2 linked regions of the Struthio camelus genome follow. Each later gene encodes a partner of the first gene's protein in a complex. Links are inferred from orthologs where the notes say so. Each region holds a gene or a part of one and is shown on either strand. Other genes may lie near its edges.

Region 1 (7,340 bases):
AGAGGGAAGGGACGCTGGGCTGGGTCCGGGCAGAGCTGGGTGCCCCCGCCACCCGCCAGGCACAGCCCTCCCGGCCCCGTTCGCCTCGGGCAGCCCCCTGCGGCCGGCTCCGCGCCCCGCGCGGGCCGCGCTGCCCCCGCTCCCCGCCGCCGGCTGGGCGCTCCCCTCGCCCGTCACCCTCCCCTCGCCCCGGCCCCCTTGCGCTGCCCGGGCACGTTCCCTCTGCCGGTTCCCCGGGTCCCAGCACCCGCTCGGGGGGGCCTCAACACCCGCCGCAGCCCCCAGGCAGCTCGCTGCCAGCCGGGGCGCGGGCTGGGGAAACTGAGGCCCGACACGAGGGCCGAGGCGGTTTGCGAGGGGCGTCCCGGGGGCAAAGCGGGGGGTCGGTGACGTGCCGGGCTCCGTCTCTGCGGACGGGGCCAGCGGCGGGGTGGTGGGGCGGCCCCGGGCGCCGACCCCCGCTCCGCCCCCCCCCCCCAGCACGCCGGCCCGGCCCGGGGCCGCGCTTTGCCCCCCGGGGCCGGGCCGGGCCGCCGGCGGGAGGCGTTTAGGACCCAGCAGCGCGGCTGGTGCGGGAGCTGCCGGCTCCGCTCATCGCCGGCTGCGGCGGCTGCGGGCCCCGGCCCCGGCCCAGCCCCGAGCATCCCCGCCCGGCACCGGGGCGCCGAGCCGGCCGCCGGGGCCCGCCGACCCCCATGGAGCCCCCCCCCCAGGGTAGGTGCCCGCCCCGCCGCCGCTACCGGCGGGGGCTGCGGCGGGCGACGGGGCGCCCCCCGGGGCGGAAGCGGCGCGGGGCCGCCCGCTCGCCCCTCACCGTCGCCCCGGGCCTGCTGCGGTGGGGGGGGGGAGGGAGGAGGGAGGAAGGCCGCAGCCCCGGCACCGGGAGGGGGGGGGGATGCAGGGGGAATGGTGCATAGGGGCTCGGGGGAGAGGGTGGGAGGGTGCCCGGTGCCCCCCCACCCACCCCGACGAGCCTGCCCCGGCCGCCCCCGGGGGGATGCCGGTGCCCGGGGGCCACCGGGTATCGGCGGGACCGGCCGCGGCCTGCCAAAACGGGGCAGGGCCCCGGGGGCTCCCCGTGCTGCCCCCACACCCCGGCCCCGCGCTGGGGTAGCACCCTTGGGTGGGGAAGGGAGGGTGACACCCCCATTGCAGCGGGTGCCCACCCCCCCCATCGCCGGGCACCCCGCCGCGCTGGCTGCCACCCCCCCCCCCAGGGATTTGGGGTGAGGGGTGCACGGCACCCATCCCGGGACGTGTTCGGGGTGGGGGGATAAGGGGTGAGCCCAGGCGTCCGGGCCCAGGGAGGGACTGGGACCGCGCTGTCCCAGGCTGGTCCCAGCCGCGCCATCGGCAGTCCCCGGGCTCCAGGTGTCAGGTGAGGCTGTTTTGGGCTGAAACATCGGAGTTTGGGGTTTTAAGCCCCGGGGTTGCTCGTTTCCTAAGGAAATGAGACATTTTGTTGAGAAAGGAGTTTTCTCAGCCCAGGGCAGCCCCGCGTGGGGCCCGGCGGCTCTCCCCGCCGGGGGGGACCCAGGCACGCCCCGGGGCGCCAGCGGCCGCCGTCGGGGGCTGAGCCGAGACGCCGACGCGCGGGGGCCTCTGATCCGGCCGCCTCTCTGCCTTCCCCCGCAGGTGCTCCGCTCTGCCCGGCGCAGAGCAGCCGGGAGATGAGCCCGCCCGGGGGGAACCCTTGGGTGCGCTGAGCGCCGCCGCCTCCGCAGCACCCGTCCCGCGCCCGGCGGAGCGGGGCCGGGCGATGGCCAGCAGCACCCGGGGCCGCCGGCCGGCGTAGGGCTGGGCCGGGGTCCGGCCGGCGAGGATGTGAGCGCCGGGGGCGACGCTCTGCGGCCCCTCGCGGGGGGCCCGTAGGATGGGCGATGGGCCGGTGAGGGCCGGCGCCACCGCGGGACACCATGGAGCCCTCCCTGCCTGCGCCGTGGGCCTGGAACGGCTCTAGGCCGGCGCGGCCGCTCCAGCCCTCGCCGGGCCCCATGCCCGCCAACGGCACGGCCGACGCCAAGCCCAAGGACGTGGCTTCCAAGTCGGTGGGGCTCTTCTTCATGCTGCTCATCGACCTGACGGCCATCGTGGGCAACGCGGCCGTCATGACCGTCATCGTGAAGACGCCGGCGCTGCGCAAGTTCGTCTTCGTCTTCCACCTCTGCCTGGTGGACTTCCTGGCCGCCCTCACCCTCATGCCCCTGGAGATGCTCTCCGGCTCGGCCGTCTTCGACAGCCCCGTTTTTGGCGAGGCCATGTGCCGCGTCTACCTGTTCCTCAGCGTCTGCTTCATCAGCATGTGCATCCTCTCCATCTCCACCATCAACGTGGAGCGCTACTACTACGTGGTGCACCCCATGCGCTACGAGGTGAAGATGACGGTGGGGCTGGTGGCCTGCGTGCTGGTGGGCGTCTGGCTCAAGGCGGTGGCCACCTCCCTGGTCCCCGTGCTGGGCTGGCTCTCGCCGGACCGGCCGCCGGCCCCCGCCGGCCGCGGGTGCTCGCTGCAGTGGAGCCGCGGGCCTTACTGCAAGTTCTTCGTGGTCTTCTTCGCCGCCTTCTACTTCCTCCTGCCCCTCCTCATCATCGTCGTGGTCTACTGCAGCATGTTCAAGGTGGCGCGGGTGGCCGCCATGCACCACGGCCCCCTGCCCACCTGGATGGAGACGCCGCGGCGGCGCTCGGAGTCGCTCAGCAGCCGCTCCACCATGGTGACCAGCTCAGGGGCGCCGCGCACCACGCCGCAGAGGACGTTCGGCGGCGGCAAGGCGGCCGCCATCCTGCTGGCCGTGGGGGGCCAGTTCCTCTTCTGCTGGCTGCCCTACTTCTCCTTCCACCTCTACACGGCCCTGAGCCCCCAGCCGCCGGCGGGGCGGCAGGCCGAGACCGTGGTCACTTGGCTCGGCTACTTCTGCTTTACCTCCAACCCTTTCTTCTACGGGTGCCTCAACCGGCAGATCCGGGGCGAGCTCGGCCGGCTCCTCACCTGCTTCTTCAAGCAGCCGCCGGAGGACGACCTGCGGCTGCCCAGCCGCGAGGGCTCCATCGAGGAGAACTTCCTGCAGTTCCTCCAGGGCACGGGCTGCCCCGCCGAGCCCCGGCCCCGGCCCGCCACCCCCAGCCCCAAGCGGGACCAACCCCCCGTCGACTTCCGCATCCCGGGGCAGATCGCCGAGGAGGCGGCCGAGCTCCCGGAGCAGCGCCGGGGCGGCGGCGGCGGCGGCGGCGATGGCTACGTGCCGGCGGCCACCTCTCCCAAACGGGAGCTGTAGCGTCCCCGGGGGGGTCAAACACGGCTGCAAGAGGAAAGCTGGTGTGCGTGCCTGGCTGGGGCGCCTGGGGACGCGGCCGCCGCGGGGCTGGGGACCTGCCGGGGCTGTCCCCGCCGCCCGCACCCTCCTCGCCGGGGTTGTGCTTTGCTCCCCAGCCGTGGGGGCCGGAGCCGGGACGTGTCACCCCCCCCCCCCCACTCGGGTCCCCACCGGGGAGGCAGCTTCGGGGTCACAAAGCAGGGAGGAGCTGTTTTGGAGCGTGGCGGGGCCTCGGTTTTAGGGGGTCAGGCGGTCCTGACCGGGAGCGTCTCAGCAGGGTCGGCGGGAGGGGGTCCCCCAAAAGTCCTGCTGGCCCCGTCCGGCCCCGGCACCCTGCCCGGGCGGGCGCAGCCAGGGGACGGGGCGTCCGCCGCCTCCCGGGTGCCCCCGGGCCGGGCTCCCCTCCTGCCCTGGGGCCAGCTGCCCCCGTGGTGGGTGCCCGTCCCCCGGCTGATCTCCGGGGGCCGCCCCTCGCTTTCGGTCCCCGCGTCCGCCCTTGGGGCCTCCCGGGCTCGCTTGCCCCCCAGCGCCCCGTGGGGCTGGGCCGGGTCGAGGCAGGAGCAGCCCCCCGTGGTGGCGGGTGCCCTCGAGCGTGGGGCAGCTGGGGGGGAGCGAGGGAAACACCCCGGGCAGGGGGCTGCCACGGGCCGTGGGGCTGGGCCTGGGCAGGGCCGGGGCAGCTGTGGGGCTGGCGCAGCTATGGGGCCGTGCAGAGAACCCCCTCCCCTCCCGCAGGGCCTCCCTCAGGACTACAACTCCCGTCACGCCCCGCTCCACCGAGGCGGAAGTGAGGCGCCCACCCTCCCCCGGCTCCCATCACGCCCCGCTCCACCGAGGCGGAAGTGAGGCGCCCACCCTCCCCCGGCTCCCATCACGCCCCGCTCCACCGAGGCGGAAGTGAGGCGGGGCAGCCTCCAACTCCCCGCATGCAGCGCGTGGACTACCAGTCCCAGCGTGCCCCGCGCCCCGCGCGGCGGCGGACTGCATTTCCCGGCGTGCCCCGCGGCGGGCGCCCGCGCCCGCGCGGCGCCGCCCCGGGGCGGTTGGCGGGCGGGTAACGGTCGCGGCGGGGCGGATATCCGGCGCCGCCTCACGGAGCCGCCCGCGCTGAGGGGAAGCGAGAAGGCGCAGCCCCGCACCGGCTCGGCTCGGCTCCGTCTGCCCCGCTCCGGCTCCCCGGCGGCGGGCCGCCCTCCGCCGCCATGGGCTGCACGCTGAGCGCCGAGGACAAGGCGGCGGTGGAGCGGAGCAAGATGATCGACCGCAACCTGCGGGAGGACGGCGAGAAGGCGGCCAAGGAGGTGAAGCTGCTGCTGCTCGGTGAGGAGGGGCCGGGCGGGGGTAAAGGGGCTCTGGGGAGGGGAGAGGGCTGGGGGGGGGTCTTGAGACGGACTGAGGGGCTCCGGGGGGGGCTTGGGGGACTCTGTAGTGCCGGGGGGGGGAGGTGTTCCAAGGAGCCTCTAAAGGGGGGGCTTAAGGGAGCTTTAGGGAGCGTTTTGAGGGGGACTGGGGGCTCGGAAGGGGCTTGAGGGGCTAAGGAGTCTCAGGAGAGGAGGCTTGAGGGAGACCTCCAGAGTCCGGGAGGGGGTTGAGAAGGCTAAGGGAGCTCGAGGGAAGGCCTGGAGAAGCGTTGGGACGGCTGAGGGCTTTGGGAGAGGACTCCGGGGCTTGGAGAGGGTGAAGGAGTCCCTGGGAAGGGGATTTGGGGCTTTCCAAGGGCTCCAGAGGGTTTTAGGGGGTCTTTGAGGGGAGGAGCCAGGTGGTGAGGGCAGGACTATCTGGAAGGGATTGAGAAGGGGTTTGGGGGAGGCTAAAAGGTCTCTAGAGGGTGAGTGGTGGGGAGAGGGGTGTCTGGAGGGATGGTGAGGTGACTGTGGGGTGAGCAGGGATCGAGGAAGCTGTTGGGGTGTGTATGTGTGAGGGATTACCCAGAGGGATGTTGAGGGAAGAGGGGTGAAAGTGTTAGCAAGACAAAGAAGTTCAGGGGTTTGAAAGGGGGAGAGGCTGGGATGAGGTAGGGTTCCTGTAGGAAAGCTAAGGGAGTTGTGGGAAGGGCTCTGAGGTGAGTCTGGGAAAAGGCCGTTTTGAGGGACAGCTCTGCCTTTGTGACACTGGGGAGGGTTTGGCGCTTAGTGTGGTTGCCAGCCTCGGGCATGGGCCTGACCCCTCGCTCCACCCTGGTCCTCCATCCCTTTCCCGGGGTTGTTACCTGCTTGGTGGGGCTGCTGGAAGACCATAGCCTGCCCCGCTCCCTTAGGATTGCCACCCAGCTCTGAGGAGGGAGGAGATGGCCTGTCCCACTCTCACCCACGGCAGGAGCACGCTGCTCTCTAGCACGCTGTCCCAGGGTGGGGCTTTTTACTAGCCAGACTCTGCCTGATGAAGTAACACTTCTGTCTGTAGTGTGGGTCTGAACCTTACCAGTCTTCCTTCCTGGTTGCTTCTGGGTGATGTCTGTCTCTGGTGGCTTTGGTCTTGGGCTCTGGGAGCAGAAAGCGTTAGCTCCGCTGTCTCGTTGTTCCTTCATCTTTGGGTATCCTGTGCTTGCGTGACAAAGATCACTGTAAAACCTCTTGCTTGTGGCTGAATACTGACAATATACAGTCTGTAGTCATGCAGGCATGCTCGTTCAGCTTTTTGCTTCAGATAGGGTAATGGAATTAAATCCTTTTATCTGGTAGTTAGCTTTTACCCTGAAAATGGCTCTTTGGACGCCTGTTTCTCAGATCAGAAATGCCCGCTCTGTGTAAGCTGTCTTTGCTAATCATGCTACGTTTTTTGTGCCTCATGCTACCACAGTAAAGATCCTGTGATAGGATCTGACTTTGCGCAAAAGATGAGATGTGAATCCACCTTACTCTTCCATAGCTGAACTTGTTCTGCAGAGCTTGCAGGAGCGCAAAAAAGCAAAAGTGTTGTTGTTGCTGCTACCTCAGTGCAATCTCTATATGTACAGAAAACGGAGCAGCTGAGAAAGGAAGTGTCAATTCTGTGCACTTTTATTTTTTCCAGCTAAAAGGCATTCATGAATCTTTGAGAGGATCTAAATGGAATAAAATGTTTAGTGGAGAACTATCTTCTTATTATACTTCCCTGAGTGGATAAATATTTAAGGATTGCAAATAACTTGCCATATTTGGTCTATGTTCTAGTAACCATGTTTAGAAGCCCTTGTTGAGTGATAAGTAGGGTACAGAGAAGGAAAAGATGCCCTTCTCTGATGAAGCCTGCTAGATATAGGCAGACTCCTGTTCCATTTCTTTGCAACTTCAAATGAGCTAAGGAATAAGCAGTGCAAATTTAGGGTTGTAGGTGGACCCATCTGGTCATGTCATGTAGGTCGTCGTCTTCTAATGTCCATATGTTTTTTTGTTACTTTGACATTCTCCATTTCAGATGGAGACAGATTGAGTTCATGAAGACTAGAACAATGACATTTAGTTCTCCTGTTAGACTGGGACACGTTGGCTAACAAGTCTGCTTTCCAAATGATCTGAATCTCAAGAATCCTTTTTTAAAACTTGTTTTTACTTGTATCCTTGTAAGAGGTGCGGCTTGATGTTCTTTGTGGCCGTATTGAAAAGCATTTTGGAGCTAAACTGCATGACCTCCTCTTCAGCAAATGACAGAGTTGAAGGAGTACCCAAAAGATTATGCAATAATCGGTTTCAAAGCATATTAATGTAGACACAAGGTGAGACTTTCAAAAGTACAAGTAGCAGCTGTATTTTGGATCACTTCTCTCTCTGATCTGTCTCTAGCCTCATTTAAAAAATAGTGCGCTCGTATCAGGTTTGCACTTGGCCATAACCTGCAATAACTTAAAATGTCAAGGTTTTCTAGTGTTAAAAATTAGCGTAACAATTGCTAGTGATTAGAGGGAATACCGGATTGTGCCAAAATGTACTCTCCTCATATGCAGCTTGTTAATGTGCGGGTGAAGCAAGATAGTTAATTGCTAGGAGAAAATATTTGCAGTAGGAACATGGGTCCTTTCAGTGAGACATCAAGAAGCTGATGGAAAAG
Region 2 (7,393 bases), about 1.5 Mb from region 1:
TTGGGGGAGCGGCGCGGGGCTGCGTTGTGCTGGGGACCTCGGCTGCCGTGGGAAAAAATCGGAGAACTCTCCCACCGCCTCCCCAGACTCAGCCTGGCCGTGCACCACTGCGCTCCTCCTCCTGCTTCGCGCCCGGTGTGATGAGTTTGCCGTGCTCTGCTGGCCGGGTTATTTTTCTGTGGGCTGCTTCGGTCGGGGGGGGGGGGGGGGAGCAAGCTCTGCTTTCAACCGTGGCTGCGGTTTAGAGGCCGGGAATGAGTCATCGCCGCTGCTGGTGACCTGTGGCTCCGGGTTTGAAGGGGGAACGGCAGAAGGCAGGTGTGAGGCAAGCGCTAGAGGAGATCGCGGATGCTGGCCGCTCGCCGAGGCACGGCCTGGAGAGGAAGGGAATGGAGCCGATCTGTTGAACGCGGCGAGGAGCTCGGGAAGATGCCAAGAGAAGTGCCAAAAGAAAAAGCTCATTTCCTTTCCTTCTTTCCCTTCACGTAAACAAGGCTTTTCTGCACCAGCGCAGCAGGCGGGGGGTGCGGCGGGAGCGCGCTGGGCACAGCTTCGGAGGGCCGGAGGGGACAGCCGGGGGCCGAAACCTCCCCGCAGGCTGCCGCCTCTGCGCCGGGAGCTGTGATCTTGTCTCTCCGGGGCGGGCTGTGCCGAAATCCCGGCTGCCTCGCCGGGGCTGCGCGCGGCTCTGGGGAGGGGAAGGCCAGCCCCGAGGGCTGCCGCGGGGCAGAGCTGGGGTCGGGCCGGGGGTCTCCCGTGCAGACGAGCAGCTGAAGAAGGTGGCACGGAGCTGCGCTGGGAGCAGCGGGCTGGAGCTGCGGGCTCCCGGGCTGGGATGGGCAAGCTGATTTTGGGGGCCCCTGGCTGGAAGCAGGCCCCGGGGGAGGAAAGCTTTGGTTCAGTTGGATGCTACGGTCTGTAGCCTGCTGCGCTCCCCCTAAAAGGGTGTTTGGGCTCAGCTCCTGCCGTGGGCACCCCGGGGTGGCCGTCTGGGCATGGGCTTGGCGGCTCTGTCCGTCCCCCGCGGAGCCCCCCGGCAATGCAGGGCTCCGGGTGCGCCGGCATGGGAGACACTGAGTGGGGATTTCGGGGAGGTTTTACACCCAAAACCGAACGGCAGCCACGTCCCGTTCCCGGCGCAGCCCCGAAGCGGGGCGCAGCTTTGCTGCCGGCTACCCGAAAAAGGGTGTCACGTGCCTCAGCTTTGGCATCAGGCAGGAGGGGGATGGATTTGTCAGCTCAGCCACCCCCTTCCAGCTCTTCCCCGAAAGGGAACAGCCTGAAGACATGGCAGGTCCTAATTATAACGTGCGCTAACGCACCCCCCGACCTCGTGCCCGCCGCGGGCACCGTCCCTCCCTCTTGGGCTTCGCGCCTTGTGGTGGGGTTTCGTCCCCCCTGGGGTGGACCGATTTCCCGTGCCCGGTGGGGACGGTGGTTAAGCCCCGCTCGCTTCCTAAGCCGGTGCTGTCCCCGTTCCCGATTTGCAGGTGATCAAAAATTAATCGTGGGATTTCTGTGGTGTGATCGGGGACGGGGGCTGGCTCCTTCCTTCCCTCCCTCCTCTCTCCCGCGGCGCCCTGGCTGGAGCTGTTTGCCGGCGTGAGCTGTGCTGCTGCCTCCTCCTCGCCCTGCCCCGGCCGCGTGCCGGCGAGGGGTTAGCGCTGGCCTGCTGTGCACGGGCCAGGAGAGCGGGAGGCAGAGAACTTGCCTGCAGTTAAGGATATATATATATATATAAAATGATAAATATTCCCTGAGTCTGATCTGCAACCCAGGTGGAGCTTTTATCAATGGATTTTGGGAGCCTCCGGGTCGGGCTCTGGGGCAGGGAGGACGGTGGCAGCACCTGGCGCGAAGCTGGCTTTTCTGGCACGCTGATTTGGGCTGAGCGTAGCTGGTGGTGAACGGGGAGGTCGCGGGCAGCCCCGGGGCACCGAGGGCGGCAGAAGACCCCGGCGTTAGCGGGACCGCGTCCCGGAGAGGCAGCGCGCGGCTCGCTGGTGTTTGGGTTGGGATCCTGCACCCGTTGCGGTTAGCGACTCGCGCCTGGCTCTGGCGATTGCGGCCCGGCGCGTGCACCTTCGTTAAGGTATCGGGTGTATTTTCCTGTTAAAATCGGGGGTCCCTGCTTTCCAGTGCCTGCTCCGCCTCGGCCTCGCTTTGCTCCTAGGCAGGCGAAAGCCCAGGTGCTTGACCTGAACGCTCAAGTTTGTGCCTGTCAAGAGATAACTTACCCTGGCCTCCCCTCGCCTTGTCTTTTGCAATTAAAGAAAAAAACGGGAGCCAAAGCAGGTTCCCTGCAATAGCTCACAAGCGAGGGGGAAAAAACTAGCGTAGGCTAATTGGGATATTGTGCTGCGCTGCGGCTGTCCCTGCTTGCCGAAGGATTCGCAGGTGGGGAAAGAAACGGCCTTGATTGTCAAAAAGACACCGGCGAACTCGCGGCAGAAGCGGGCAGCAGCCCTCCCCGTGCCGGGGTTTCGGTCTCCCCTGCGGGACGTGGGCTGTCGGTGCGAGGGTTGGGGCAGGGGGTCCGGCAGGACTCCTGGGCCCCCTGCGCAGCTCGGAGCAGGGCTAGGGGGATGCCTGGCTAAATAAGTCTCGAAATCGCCAGCGACGCGAATTCGTGGCGCGGCTGGACGCGGGCCCGGCCCCGAGCGCCGCGGCAGGCGGTGGGGGGGACGCGCGGAGGCGAAGGCGGCGGGTTGCTCCCCGCCGCAGCGCTCGCTGCCGGCCTCCGCTGCCCGGCCCCGCTGGAAAGCGCGGAAAAGGGGCAGCGAGACGAGACGGGGCGGGGGCTCGCGCGGGCGCTTTCGGCTTCGTCCGCTCCGCGGCGGCGGCCGTGAAGCCTTCGTGCCCGACGCTTAGCCGGCGCCTGGGCTGGGGGCGCGGGGGACGCTGGGGGGGGGCAAAATAACTTGGTTTTGACTTGGAGTCCTGCAGGGACTGGAGAGAAATGGGCTGCTTGCTTGTTTGCTTGTTTATTTTTTTAGCCCCCCTGACGGAGCGTCTTCACCCCTGCGACGCCCTCGCGTCGGCTGAGCCGGCTCTGCTCCTGGGGAGCTGCAGCGGAGCCGAGAGCCCTCCAGTTTCCACCAGCCCCGGGGCGTTTGCCGTGCGCCCAGCTCGGGGTCGCAGCCGGCGGGGCAGCGCGCGATGCCAGCGCGGGCTCCCGCCGCGCGGTTCGGTCCTGGGGCCGCGGCAGCGCCGCCAAATTCTGCAAAAAAAAAAAAAAGAAAAAAAAAAAAGAAAAAAAAGAAGAAGAAAATGGTGCGGCGCGCGAGCAGGAGGGGATGGGGCTCCCTCGCCGGCGTCGCGGCGGCAGCTGCCCGGGTTTGCTCGAGCCCTGCCGAGAGCGCGTCCTGGGCGCTGGAGCTGCCCGTGTGTCCGCGGCATCTCGCGCCCCTTAGCGCCGAGACGCCGTCCTGGGGCAGCACGGGGACGGGACGAGGGACGTCCCCTCCGCCGGGGGCGTCTCCCGGCAGGTGCGGGGACAGGGGGCCGGGGAGGTCCGGGGCCGCCCCGGGGACGCGGAGACGTCTCCCAGCCCTCGGAGGAAGGATGAATTTGCCTCCCTTGGGGCAGCCGCGGTTATTGCCCTTGAGCTGTGAGGCCGGCGTGGGCAGAGGGGGGCCAGGGCGCTCGTCCCCCGCTCCTTTCCCGCGAGCCCTCGGGCCGCCTGCGGCCCCGGAGCGCGGGATAATTCCGGCTGCGTCTCCCCTCGCGGTTCAGCGGGGGGCTCGAACCCTCCTCTCGCCGGTACTGACGCTTTCTCCTGGCCTGCCGTGATATTTTTACCTTCGGCTCCTTCAGATTATACGATCAAAGGCGGCACAAAGGCGAGAGAGCAGAAAGGAAAAAGCTTAGAAGAAGGAAGGAAAAGAGGCCGCGGACTCGTGGGATGCCGGCAGCTCCGCGAGAGCCGCCGCGCTCTCGGGGCGCGGAGGATTTTCCTTGTAGCGGATGCCGCTTGCAGACCCTTCCTCCGACGGGCAGAAACGATCCAGGTCCTCGCAGGAGGATGGGGAGAGGGGGAACGACCTGATTGAAGCCGGCCCGGAGCTGCCACGGGCAGAGCCTTTCCCGATCCCGCCCTTGCAGCCGGGGCGGTTTGGGAGCCGCCGCTTGCAAAGCCCCCCGCCGTGGTTTCCGCGGTGGGGCCGAACGCGGCGGCTCTGCAGGGCTCGGCTCGCCGGGCGGCTTCGGATGCCCGTGCCCGCTCCCGGGGGCGCCGGCGGGAGCTCGGCCGCTGCGCGGCGGGCGCTGGGGCGAAGCGGGTCGTGCGCGGCGGCGGTGCTCGCAGGCTCCCCCCCTTCCCGGAGCGGAAAGCATTCGCCGCTGACTAATTCGGATCGCTTAAAAGCCCCGGCTGTCAGAAACGCTTTGGAGATCGGCCTTCAAGCGGCTCCGGCAGGCAGGGAGGTGCATAATTTATGGAGGTGAGTTGAGGCAAGGGCCCTGGCGGCCGGGGAGCTCTCCTCCGCGGGCGGCTGTGGCCTCGCGTCCCTCCCGCGCTGTCCTCGGCGAGCCCTTCCCAAAGGGGAAACCGAGGCAGGGGCGGCGGGGCGTCCCGGCGGCGGGCACGGACGCCGCTCGGCCGACCGGGCTCGCGGGCCGAGGAGCGAGGCGAATGGGGCCGGGGCAGGCTCTGAGCGGCTGCGCGCTCGCCGCCGGCGCTGAGACCTGCCGGGCTCGTCGCTTTTGTGAGGGTGCCGGGCCGGCCGGGGCTCTGCCGCCCGGTCAGCGAGCTGCCCGGATAACGTGTTTCGGCTGAGTCAAAGCAGCGGGCGCGAAGCAGAAATCAAGCGCATCCCAAATCTTTTCGCCGTAACCCGCAGCGCTGATTTCTGCCGGGCTCCCTGCAGGAAGGTCTGGATCACTGATGTCCTCCTCGTGCTCCGGCTTGATTTTTTTTTTTTTGTGTCCCCCCCCCCTCCCCTTTCTCTCCCCCCGCTGTTTTCCACCCTCTCCCTTTCCAGGGCTGCGGAGGAAGGAGCCGAAGCTTGCCGTCGGGGCTCGCCTGGCCGCCGCTCTGCCTGGTGATGCGAAGCTCCCCGACGGGCCGCCCCGATCCGGCTGTCCGGGCAGGCGCTCCCCGCCGCGGCGCGTCTCCCATGCGGGGCCGGCGTCGCCGCCTGGCCGCAGGGTTTCGGGCTGCGCTCTCCGTCCCCGCACGGCTTCGGCGATGAGCGGGCAGCGGGGGGGTTCTTTTCGCATGGGGCGTCTGTCGTTCTGCCTCCTGCTGAGCGCCTGGAGCTGGGGCTGGGCGCCCGTGGGCGCCGCCAAGCCCAAGGGCCAGGGCTACCCGCACATGAACTCCATCCGCATCGACGGGGACATCACGCTCGGGGGGCTCTTCCCCGTGCACGGCCGTGGCTCGGAGGGCAAGGCGTGCGGGGAGCTGAAGAAAGAGAAGGGCATCCACCGCCTGGAGGCCATGCTCTTCGCCTTGGACCGCATCAACAACGACCCCGAGCTGCTGCCCAACATCACGCTGGGCGCCCGCATCCTGGACACGTGCTCCCGCGACACGCACGCCCTGGAGCAGTCGCTGACCTTCGTGCAGGCGCTCATCGAGAAGGACAGCACCGAGGTGCGCTGCGTCAACGGCGGGCCGCCCATCATCACCAAGCCGGAGCGCGTGGTCGGCGTCATCGGCGCCTCGGGCAGCTCCGTCTCCATCATGGTGGCCAACATCCTGCGGCTCTTCAAGGTACGGCGTCCCCCGGCACCACCCCCCCCCCCCTCCGCTGCCACCTCCGCGCTTGCAAAAAATAACCGCCAACGTCTGCAAGCGCTTTCGGGGCGTCTGCGCGTGCTGGCCTCGTCCTCCGCGGCGGGGGGCAGGCGAGCACGAGCGTCTCCAAAACCCGTCTCCCGGCGCCCCGGCGATGCCCTGCTCCGTCCCCCTGCGGTGACGACGCTCTTTGCTCGAGGACTTGTCTTTTCGTGGCAAGGCGGGGTGCCGGGGAGGTTGGTCGACGGGGGTACGGAGTGGGGACTGGCTGCGAGGGGCCTCGGGAGGGCTCCGGTCCCGCGCCGGCTCCGGGGTCAGACCCGGTGGCTCGGGGCTTCGTCCCGTTGGGTCTTGAGATCGAAGCCCCTGTTGTAGGGTCCGAACAGCGGTTCGGGGCGCAAGGTCTCCGGCGCGGCCTCGACTAACGCTCTCGCCCAACCTGCTTGCACGCGGCGCGTCCCCTCGCTCTCCCGCCCTCGAGCTGCCCCGTGCGAGCAGCCCTTCGGCCGCCGCTTGCTCCCTTCGCCGTTTATTTATCGGAAGCAACGTCGCCGGGCTGGAGGGAGCGTTTGAACGAGACCCCCCCCCGCCGCCGCCGCTGCGGGCTGCAAGCGCCCTGCTTTGCCCGCAGAGCCCAGCTCCGTGTCTAGGAGTTGCTTTCCCCTCCCAGCGTCTTGGAAACCATCTTTTGTCCCCGACCGGCTGCCTTTTGCCTTCTTCTCTTTTGCCCCCCTCCTCTTCCTGCCTGCTGCCCGGCGGGCTGCAAGCGCCGCGCGCTCTCCTGGCAGCGCTGGGAGCTGTTAGCGCAGGCGGCGAGGCAGATCGCAGGTGGAGCTGGATTTTTCTGGATCCCTTTTAAAAAAAAAAAACAAAAAAACAAAAAAAACACGTTAATGTTCCAGGCGACGGGCGAGAGGGCTATTCAATAATTAAAACAGTATAAATTAAAGGGAGCGGGAGGAACTTAAAAGCTATTTGCCGAGACGAAAAAGATTGAACGCTCGCTTCGGAGAGGAGGAGGGAGAGAGGGAGGCAGGATGGCAGTGGGAGGAGGGGAGGGTAACTAAACCGTTTTGGGGTGTTTTCTTCTCCCCCCCCCCCCAGGATTTCATTTTAACCTCCCCCAGTCTTGCTCCGTAGGCAAAGCAGCCGGGAAGGATGCGGCACGGCTCGTGGGACGCCGAAGGAGGCGGCTTCGTGCTCTCGTCCCCGGGAGAGGCTTTTGCGGGGCTCTAATCGAGGGGGAAAAGGGCCGCAGAGGGCAGAGACGCAGCCCGGCTGGGCCTGATCGCCGTCGCTTTTTGCTATTCAAATAGCAGGTTGATGGCACGGACATGTGCGATGCAAATGAGACAACTTCAGTCTCGCACGGCTGCCGACCTTGAAGCGCGGGCGCCTCTGCTCCCGAGCGCAGCCCCGTGCGCGCGCCCTTGCCTTTTCCCGTGCCCCCGACCCCGGCGGGACGAGCTTTGCTCCGGGGCCGCAGCCGGCCGCTCGGCTGCCGCCTTGCCAACGGGAGGAAAGCGGTGCCCGCGCGCCCTGTTTGCACCCGTCAGCCCCGTCCCTCCTGCCGCCGCTCCCCGGCGGCGCCTCGCTAAACCCGCCGTTAAAGCCAGCCGATGGGCGGCGGGACCTGTCGCGGTCGCACCGGCC

The links. Proteins that work in one complex are often made in the same cells at the same time.
Region 2: the proteins of GNAI3 (region 1) and GRM4 are in contact, whole or in part, in a cryo-EM structure (PDB 8JD6), measured with the Homo sapiens proteins. The link is inferred for Struthio camelus from reciprocal best matches to the Homo sapiens genes GNAI3 and GRM4. Residues at the interface, in NP_006487.1 of Homo sapiens: Ala31, Lys32, Val34, Lys192, Asp193, Leu194, Thr219, Phe336, Thr340, Ile343, Ile344, Asn347, Leu348, Cys351, Gly352, Leu353, Tyr354; in NP_000832.1 of Homo sapiens: Pro616, Lys619, Ala620, Gly622, Arg623, Glu624, Arg676, Ile677, Ile680, Phe681, Gln683, Gly684, Lys685, Arg686, Ser687, Val688, Ser689, Ala690, Ile694, Ser695, Pro696, Phe781.

The regions. Positions count from the first base shown.
Region 1 is NC_090965.1:4,179,465-4,186,804, forward strand, and holds the start of GNAI3 (guanine nucleotide-binding protein G(i) subunit alpha-3), read left to right. Parts: upstream 1-4,284; 5' UTR 4,285-4,516; coding exon 4,517-4,634; intron 4,635-7,340. Other genes in the region: GPR61 (G-protein coupled receptor 61), read left to right, coding at 1,917-3,275. UniProt on the Homo sapiens protein: Heterotrimeric guanine nucleotide-binding proteins (G proteins) function as transducers downstream of G protein-coupled receptors (GPCRs) in numerous signaling cascades.
Region 2 is NC_090965.1:5,638,724-5,646,116, forward strand, and holds the start of GRM4 (metabotropic glutamate receptor 4), read left to right. Parts: upstream 1-4,372; 5' UTR 4,373-4,442; intron 4,443-4,982; 5' UTR 4,983-5,188; coding exon 5,189-5,716; intron 5,717-7,393.